Linked DNA regions of Xenopus tropicalis. The protein of the gene in region 1 interacts with the protein of each later gene in a pairwise test. Links are inferred from orthologs where the notes say so. Each region holds a gene or a part of one and is shown on either strand. Other genes may lie near its edges.

The links. The genes of interacting proteins can lie anywhere in the genome.
Region 2: the proteins of incenp (region 1) and cbx5 interact in binary tests that used the Homo sapiens proteins (3 or more experiments, as listed by UniProt). The link is inferred for Xenopus tropicalis from reciprocal best matches to the Homo sapiens genes INCENP and CBX5.

The regions. Positions count from the first base shown.
Region 1 is NC_030680.2:22,839,128-22,843,542, forward strand, and holds the start of incenp (inner centromere protein), read left to right. Parts: upstream 1-1,056; 5' UTR 1,057-1,107; intron 1,108-2,633; 5' UTR 2,634-2,641; coding exon 2,642-2,778; intron 2,779-4,152; coding exon 4,153-4,263; intron 4,264-4,415. UniProt on the Homo sapiens protein: Component of the chromosomal passenger complex (CPC), a complex that acts as a key regulator of mitosis.
Region 2 is NC_030678.2:145,616,291-145,620,705, forward strand, and holds the start of cbx5 (chromobox protein homolog 5), read left to right. Parts: upstream 1-1,492; 5' UTR 1,493-1,638; intron 1,639-4,415. Other genes in the region: hnrnpa1 (heterogeneous nuclear ribonucleoprotein A1), read right to left, coding at 969-983. UniProt on the Homo sapiens protein: Component of heterochromatin that recognizes and binds histone H3 tails methylated at 'Lys-9' (H3K9me), leading to epigenetic repression. In contrast, it is excluded from chromatin when 'Tyr-41' of histone H3 is phosphorylated (H3Y41ph).

The DNA of each region.
Region 1 (4,415 bases):
TGGTCTCCCTTTATAGCAGTTCTCATTTTGATGCAACTCACAAGCAGAAATGATCATATATAAGAATTAGAAAACAACATATTATTCTCAAGCTCAGCATGATAGAAATGCTACTTTTTTTTAACTGTGGATGCACTGGATCCATAAGGTTTGAAACCTCTGGAAAGATCTGTCTGACTTCTGAACTAAATTTGAACCCTAATTATTTTATATATTTTTTATATATAAAAAAACCAAACTGCATTACATGGGGGGGGGGGGGGTAGGCTCTTGGGCACATACTGTTAGGCCTTGTGGTACTCTGGCCCTGTGCATTAGGAAGTTGAAAAGGGGGGGGGGGGGGGGGTGGCAGAAAACAGCAGGGGGCATGTCTTGGGCATCCATACCTTAGGCCTGCATCAAATTGTTTTTTTTTATACACAATTTCAAAAACAATCACATTCTTATTGTATTCACATCAGTCCTTGCCCTAATGCCCCTATGACAATCACAGACACTATGGTCAGTGCTGTCAGGAGCCAATCAACCTTCGTAAATATTTTCAGAGAAGGTGAGTTGCCGCAAAAACATCACTATAATCACAGCCATAAAGCACCAGGACTGTCGCTTAGATAAAGAAATAATCTAAACGCGCATTTAAATGACCCATTGCAGCTACAGTAGTTTTTTCCGTAAATGTTCTCATTTTTGCGAGCAGCATGTTGGGACCGAAAGGATTACGCTTCTAGAGCCCCATTCAGTACAAATCCGGATCTGCGTACTGAGCTTTAAGCAGACAGTACCTGCACAATAGTACAACAAACGCAATTATTTAGTATAATATCCCACTAGCGCATTTGTGAGTCCTCCACTACCATAGAGCTACTTTCCTTCCCCAAACAGCCCCGCCCCCTAGGTGTCAAGCTAACCAATCAATGAGCGAGCCTGGGTTCGCAAGCCCCTCCTTCTGATGTCACAGCCTCTCAGCTACGGCCGTTAGGTTTTTGAAACATTTGAACTCTTTGGGCGGGAGAGGAAGGCACCGCTTGTGCAGGACGGGGTGGGAAAAAACGCAAAGGAAAATAAGAGCGGGTTACAAAGCAGCGCACGGTACGGGACCCGGAATCGGTAAGTGCCGGCTAATGTTAACCCTTTCCGTGCCCACGGCATGCTTCTCATAGGTTCCTGTCAGACTGCCCGGCTGGCCGCTGTGAGGCTCTATCTCCACTGCTGGAGGTTCCAGACTGGCCTCTAACAACCTCTGATGCGCTGCAGCTGCACAGCTCTGTCCCTCACCCCTTCTCTCTATCTGGGTTCCCTATAAGCCCCGTATTTGTCGCGAATAACTACGCACTATCCAAGGCTTTCTCCCTCTACCAGCCGGACATAATATCCTCAAGCCGTATGGGGCCGGCATGCCCCCTTTGGGTTTAAATGACCAGCGCTGACCCCTTCGGGTTTAAATGGACCGGTCCCCCCCCCTTGTGTTGAAATGGCCCAGCCTGACATATTTAGCTCAATGCAGAGTTGGCTGCTATAGGAAAGCCTGGGGCAATGACTGGGGGTGGCATCATAATTTAAAATTACGTTGGATATTGTAGAGGTTGTGTTTGTTTTCCTATTTATGTGTGTAATCCTAACATAAGGGTCAGTTATGGGGATTGCTGTACTGCAGTGTGGGGTCTGATACCCAAAATGCTTAGGAATTGGTTTTTGTTTTATTGAAACCAATATAAATTCATGCAACTTGGTTACCATCAAGTACAGAGTATTGTCTTATTATAGAGAGGCAGGAAATCATTTTTTTTAAATCTAATTATTTTGCTTTCTGCTTAAGAGGCCCCCAATCTTGTTTTGTATCTTAACGCAGGGGTATCACCTAAAAAATACAAATAAATCTTAAAACCACTAGTTTAAATTTTTAATTTTTTGCTTATTTTGTCACAACCCACCAAGACTTTTATTTAACTCATTCCATGCCAGCTGCAGGAGTGCTCCAAGTCTGCTTTTTGTTTCACTGACTTAAACAAAACCTGGAAGCATATAAATACATTGATAGTACTCTGTTTGCCAGCAATGTACATTCATTTTTTTTGTTGTAGTTTTCATATTATTAGCAGTTTTAGACAGCATTGCACTGGCTGGCCACCAAAAGGTTAAGTGACTACTGCTGGCAGCATCTCCTGCACGGTGTTCTTGTCAGCTCATGTAGAATTTTCTGAGGAGTGTCATTGGGGATGCTTTTTTCTCTCACAGAAATTGGCATTTTGGTATCCCCTGGTCTGTTAGGGTGAAGACACACAGAGCTACTTGTAGCAGCTACTTGTCACAGCTACTAAAATAGACAATGTTGATCATTTACTGATGACTGTCTGTGTTTTATCAGAAGCAATTCTCAGTATTGTCTATGGCAGGGTATTTTCTGGCGTTTAGTAGCTGTGACAAGTAGATGCTACTAAATTGCTCTGTGTGTTTTATACCCAAGGCTTTACTACACTGCATTGTGTGACAGGATCTAGTTGTCTCCTGTTTGGTATATGTTTGACCCTCTATGAGAGTAAACTACAAGTTATGTTTCTAATAAAGCCAAGTTGTCTGCTGATGACTTTCATTGTAATGTTATCTGCTATTAGTAAGTCCTCTTTATTTTGCAGGTTCCACCATGAACGACGCGGAGTGCCTGTCCCACCTCTTGCAGGTGTGTGCTCGCAAGACGGAGGAGTTTGTTCGGACTCTTGACAGCAAGCACATGGTTTGGCTTCTGGAGATTGAAGAAGAGGCAAGAAAAATGTTCAGCAGGTGCGTTCTGTATGAACCATAACAATTCGACACTTATTACTCTATCGCTAGATATGGAATGCATGCTCAGTCTACTGATTTAGCATCATATAATCATATATAATATCTTTTTAAACAATAATCCCTGCCTTTCCTAATGCCCTATTACTTACCAGTGTCAAACTCTAAAGTCCCATCACATGTTTGCTGCAACCATTGCATTGTGTTTGTGGAGTGGATCTATAGGCTGGATGCACTGTTTCCATGGGTTGCGTCAGCCAAACGGGTCTGTTTCCCTCTTAAGCTCCATGTCATGGCTGTTTCTTCTGGTAAGTAATAAAGGTCCTGGGGAGGCAAGAGTTTAGTGCCACAAAGGTTTTTGTGATGCCCATTCCTGTAAAAGGGTGGCAGGAGTCCAGTTTGTATTTCCTGATTGGTTGGTCCAAGTAGCAAATGTTGACTAGCAAGTGAACTGGATAAATGCTTTATGGGCCTTAGTTATTTTTTTTTATTTATAACTATTTAACAAATGCAGGCATATCTGCAAGTCTCTCCCCAGTAGTGCCCTTTAGCCTATCCTATCACTGCAAACAGTCGGTATTGATGATGCACTTGTACCCAGAAATTGAAAGTTCGCCCTAGAATTTTTAGGTCACAAGCATGTTAAGTTTTTAACCATATTGTTTAGGTTGTGGTTATTGTTTGGCAAAGAAAGCTAATCTGAAACAGCTTCCGGGTTAACTTGATTTTTTTGTTACTGGAATGCCTTCTTGCCAGGCAACCCAGATTAACTGTGTAACCCTTTAACATTTATAAAATACGTAATACATTCCATACCTCTGTTCTGCAAGACTGTATCCAGAAAATGTGGAATATATAATAATGTTTGCAAGAAATCCACTTCCTCCAGCCCAAAAGCTCTAATTAAATCCTACAAATATTTCTTCTGAATTGATTTAAAATATTGTTTCAGTCCAGACTGTGTGCCTGTAGGGCTTTTGTTTGGTATATGTATAGATAGGTGTGCGCAATACATCTGGAATGCAGAAAGTTCTGCTTGAGGGAAGAAACAAGCCTGCTTCTATTGTTTGTCTTGAGTTTAAGGGAAGGCATCTTATTTATAATGTTGGTTTATTTTCTATACCTATTTTGCTTACTTATTAGCGAACTGTGAGCAAGAATAGCTGTCTAGAAAAAGTATTTTTGCAGCCTCCACTCACAAATACATGGGTGTGTTCAATTTAAGTTCTCATAGCGGATTATTTTGAGTTTAAATTAATATGTATAGTTTAAGTTTGATTGGCTCCGTAGGATGTGGCTTTACACTGCAATTTCCAAAGAGTGTGCAGGTTAATGTTTTACATGATCCAATCGCAATTCATCTCTCTCCCTTAGTGACTTTAATGCTGAACCTGAGCTGATGCCTAAGACTCCATCTCAAAAGAGACGGAGGAAGAAAAGAACCTCAATTGTACCAGATGAGAATCGTGATCCCAGTGGGCGTAGGTGAGAGTTCATTGCTTAAAGGATTTGCTCTCAGTTGTTATATATGCATGGAAAGTAATATACAGATACTTTCTCTTCAATAATATTTACTAAAATGTTGCCAGTATTCATTCGGAACATGGGCAGATGCCAGTTAACATAAATTGCTACTA
Region 2 (4,415 bases), on another chromosome or scaffold:
CCACAAAAAAAATAAAAAAAATTTAAAATAAAGCCTATCTTGCACTTAAGCAATAATCTATAGCAACCAACGAGATGTTTGGCCTTTGTTCAGCCAGCAGCAGGAATGGTGAAACTACCACTGATGTGTTGCTATGGGTTACTGCCTAGGTGCAAACTTGCCCAGTGATTAAAAAGGAGACTCGCTAATTGGGCAAAGTTAGCAGCCAAGCCTCTAGGTGGGGGAAGTGCACTGGTTAGGCCTAACCAACCCAAGCCTCTAGGTGGGGGAAGTGCACTGGTTAGGCCTAACCAACCCATTCACCAAAATGGTGAATCACCAGTTTCCCCTCCCCCACCGCGATACCATAAGGGTCATTTTTTTCTATAGGAACAGGTTTCATTTAAGTTGAATGTGTAGAAGCCATAAATAGCGAGAATAATAAGTATATTGTTAGCCTGAACATCGAAGCTGAAAACACGCGTTTTTACAAATCCGGGAATAAGTTTGCCTTTCTGTTACCAATTTGTACGGTATCCGAGAGAGAGGTATTCTTTTATTTATTGCTAGAGAATATCTAATATGTATTAAGGAGAGGCCTAATCATGTGTGGCGTTAGAGAAAAGGCGCCTTCCAGCTACGGGCCACAGCGCCGCCATTAAGCGAGTAGAAAATAGGCGGTACCATAGCGCCTCGCAGGGTGGAGCGCACAAAATGGAGTCAGACAAAGGAACTCTACGCAAAGCTTCCAGCTCGGCGTCTAAAGAAAATCCCCAGCCAGGGCCTACATGTTATTCACATAATTTAGTCGTTATCTAATATAGCCTGACCTACCGTAGCACTCTCATATATACAGCATACAAAAAAAAACCTGGCCCAAAAAGGCGCCAACACTCCTACTGATACTTATGCCCATAACTAGAAGGCGTAAAACTAAACGACTATGATAAAAAGAACCGAATGCATTATGCACTGGCGCTAGGCCTTACCTCGGACTTGTGCATGGTGACTCTCCCCGATGTTAACTCAACAACAGCAGAAACAAAAGAGAAGCGACAGGAAGGAAGAGTGGGGGATTATAGCGCAATGGCAATGTATATTTAGTGCGCCAGAATACGCCCACTTGCCTCCTAATTGGTCGCTGTCTGCGTAGGCATCGTCGATTGGGCAACTAGCGTGACGTTTAACTTCAGCGATTGGTTAAGACGTTGAGGAGGAGGGGAAAAGAAATCGGGTACGTTTAGTCAGTCCTTTTGTCCGGCCTAAGTGAGGTGCTGGTACGCCCCGTTTTCTCATTGGGCGAGTGATTATCGGTGTGCATATTTTATACAGAGATTTCCGTACTGGCCCGGTGCTCGTTTTATAGAAGTTCGGGCAGATTTGGTTCTAGCCATTGAAATTACATTTTATAGGGCCTCAACCTTTGGTTATGAATTCTGGTGAATGGTTAGGCTGCAGTATGGCACGGACTGGGCATAGTGTGTACCCGAGGAGGGGCATTCCTTTAGGCTGGAGGGCGGTGTTGCGCATGCGTCTAGTGGGTTGTTTTTGGCGGGGTTTGGTCGCTGGCTGCGCACAGTACCGCTCGGTAAGAGCCTTCACTCAATTCCTGCTAGCGAGCAGCTTTCGGTGGGCGCACGGTGTATTTCGCGCAGGAAGGTGAGTACAACTCGCTGCCTCCCACCCCTCCTCGGCCCTTCCCATTCATTGGCTGTGTGAGGTGCTGCTGCTGGCACTGTGCGAATAATGGGGTGCCCCGGCTTCATTGTGGGAGACAGGGACAGTGATGTGGGAGACAAGGGGCGCTGCTGATTGGCGGAAGCTTGGGGGTCATTCGCAAACTTTGGGAGGAACGTGTTGTACCGTTCAGCCGTGTAGCCGGGCAGCGACAGTGCGAGGCTTAACTTAGGTACTTACCTGGGGCTTACAGACAGCGCTGGGCAATACCCATTGCTCTCTCCCCCTGGTATTGTATCCTGGGCTGGTCCTATTGGACTATTATACAATAAAAACCTGTATGGCATGATTCTGTTGTATATTCTCTGTATACAGATATCGGGCATGGCCAACATCCAGCTGTTCAGTTGGGGGAGGTGTAGTACAACAGCTGGATGTTGATGTGAGTCCTCCATTCATTCCATCATCATTGTGTGTCAGCAATCACATATGGAACGTCTGCTCTTCTGCACCCCTCCAGCTGCTGTGAGCTATGTCTGCACATATCAGCCAGCAGGTCAGAATGGTGTAGTTCAGCAGGAACAGTCTGCCAGGGGTTGGGCATCCCTAACCCAAGTAAAACCATGGCCTGTGGCTATGGAAATGGTAATACATGCAACACGCAGTACAGCAGCTTTACACCAGGCACATAACTTACTGGTATCACTTGAAGCAGAAAAGCAGTTTCTATGCAGTTGTCTCCATAGGTTAAGGCTATTTGCAGCAATTCCACACTTTTCTGTTAAATGAAGAGTGCCTATATTCAGAAATTCTGCCCTTGGAGGGGGGCGCATGCAACGCAAATAAGAGCGTTGCAAAATGGCTTCAGACATCACTCAGACCAGCTCTAGGCATTTCTATCAATCTCACCTCCTGTAAATAAAGTAAATACCTTGCTTACATGAGGCTTGAAGGGGGTCTATGGCAGGAGCTTAAAAACTACTATGCTTACAACCAGCTAGGCTGCTACCTAGGGAAAATGAAAAATGTCCCTAGGGAAATGAAAGGGAACGTGTATTTATAATATGACAATACACTTTAAGCAACGGCATTCCTTTAAATAACCTTCACACCTGCATGCCAACACAGCAAGCTTACTAGGTGTAATCACTAATGCTAACCTATAACCATACCATCTGGCAATTCTGTAGATTCTGGCAAATGCCAGAGGGGCTGCAGTAAGGTGTGGTAGACAGTCACTATTTATTGGGCCAGTGGAGGGGATTGGGCCTCCGTGTATGTCAAATACCAGGGCCTATTATGAATCTTAAGGTGTCCATGCACTGGGCAATTTTAGCTGCCAATATTGGTCCTTTAGACTGATTTGGCAGCTTATCTGCCCATGCATGGGCACCAACAACAGGCCCCAACTGACATCTGACTTGAAATCGGGCAGGTTTGATATTTACATTGAATTGGGGACCGTGTCGGCTCGTTTATGCAGTCTCTGAACTGATGGTGCCTATGCCCACCATTCTAATTCAATTGTTTGGCCCTAAGTTGAATTAGCCCAATATCACCCACTCGTAGGGGGCCTATCGAGAGAATATCGGATCTTACGGTGTATGGCCACCTTTAGTCCAGACTCCCAGATAAAGTCTGCTGGAGTATAGGGAGTAGTAGTTGAACAGCAGGAGGTTCACAGGCTGGACATGTGGGCTTAAATGTGCCTTTGTATACTTTATTCTTAGACTGTAGACATCTTATGTATATAAACAGTAAACATGTATAAACAGTGGGCAGATTTCCACATGGGCAGTAACCCATAGCAACCAATCCATGACTGCAGATTGAACAATGAAAAGCAAAAATGTGGTTGCCATAGGTTACTGGCCAGTGTTCATAAAAAAGCCCCTGTACACAGTCTACTTTGGAAGGGCAGGTGACATCTCTGTTTACCACTTGACCACAAAGGGGTTAAGATAACTGAGTGAAATTGCTCTTAACTTTCACTCTTATGTACTGTTTGATGACTTTATTATTTCAGGTTGCTTTTGCAACTTAAGGTGGAACTCCACCCAAACACAACTTAAGCGTTTTAAAGAGTAACTTTGTAATATACATCAATTAAAAAATATGCAGCAATTTCATGATTTTTAATATACAGGTATGGGATCCCTTACCTGGAAACCCATTATCCAGAAAGTTCCGGATTACGGAAAGGCCAACTCCCATAGACTCCATTATATGCAAATAATTCTAATTTGTAATTCTTTTCTCTGTAATTATAAATCAGTACCTTGTACTTGATCCCAATTAAGATATAATTTAATCCTTACTGGAGGCAAAACAAGCCTATTGGGCTGTTAAAGTAGTCGACTGTTCTTAACCTGCAACCTCCAAATCCCACAATCCCCTGCCGACGTGATGTCAGTAAGCAATGGTACATCATAGTGCAGTGCATTGTGGGTTATGTAGTTCTTGCATGCTGTCTGTAAGCTGTTGAGAACTTGTTACTATTTGTAACATCAATGTTTTAGTCCCTCCTCTCCCACCAGGATTTCAAATGATGCAGAAAGGTAACTGTTTTGAAGCTGGATTTCAGCATATAAAAATGGTATTTGTTTATACTTTTTGAAGGAACAGATTACAGTGATAGGTGTATTAGGGGTTTCTGTGATGTTTGGGGCTCTTTAACAAATTTTCGGAGTTCCCCTTTATGATGTATTTTTTTTCCTCCCATATATGTATAAAAAGCTCTATATCATTTTGCTTTTTTT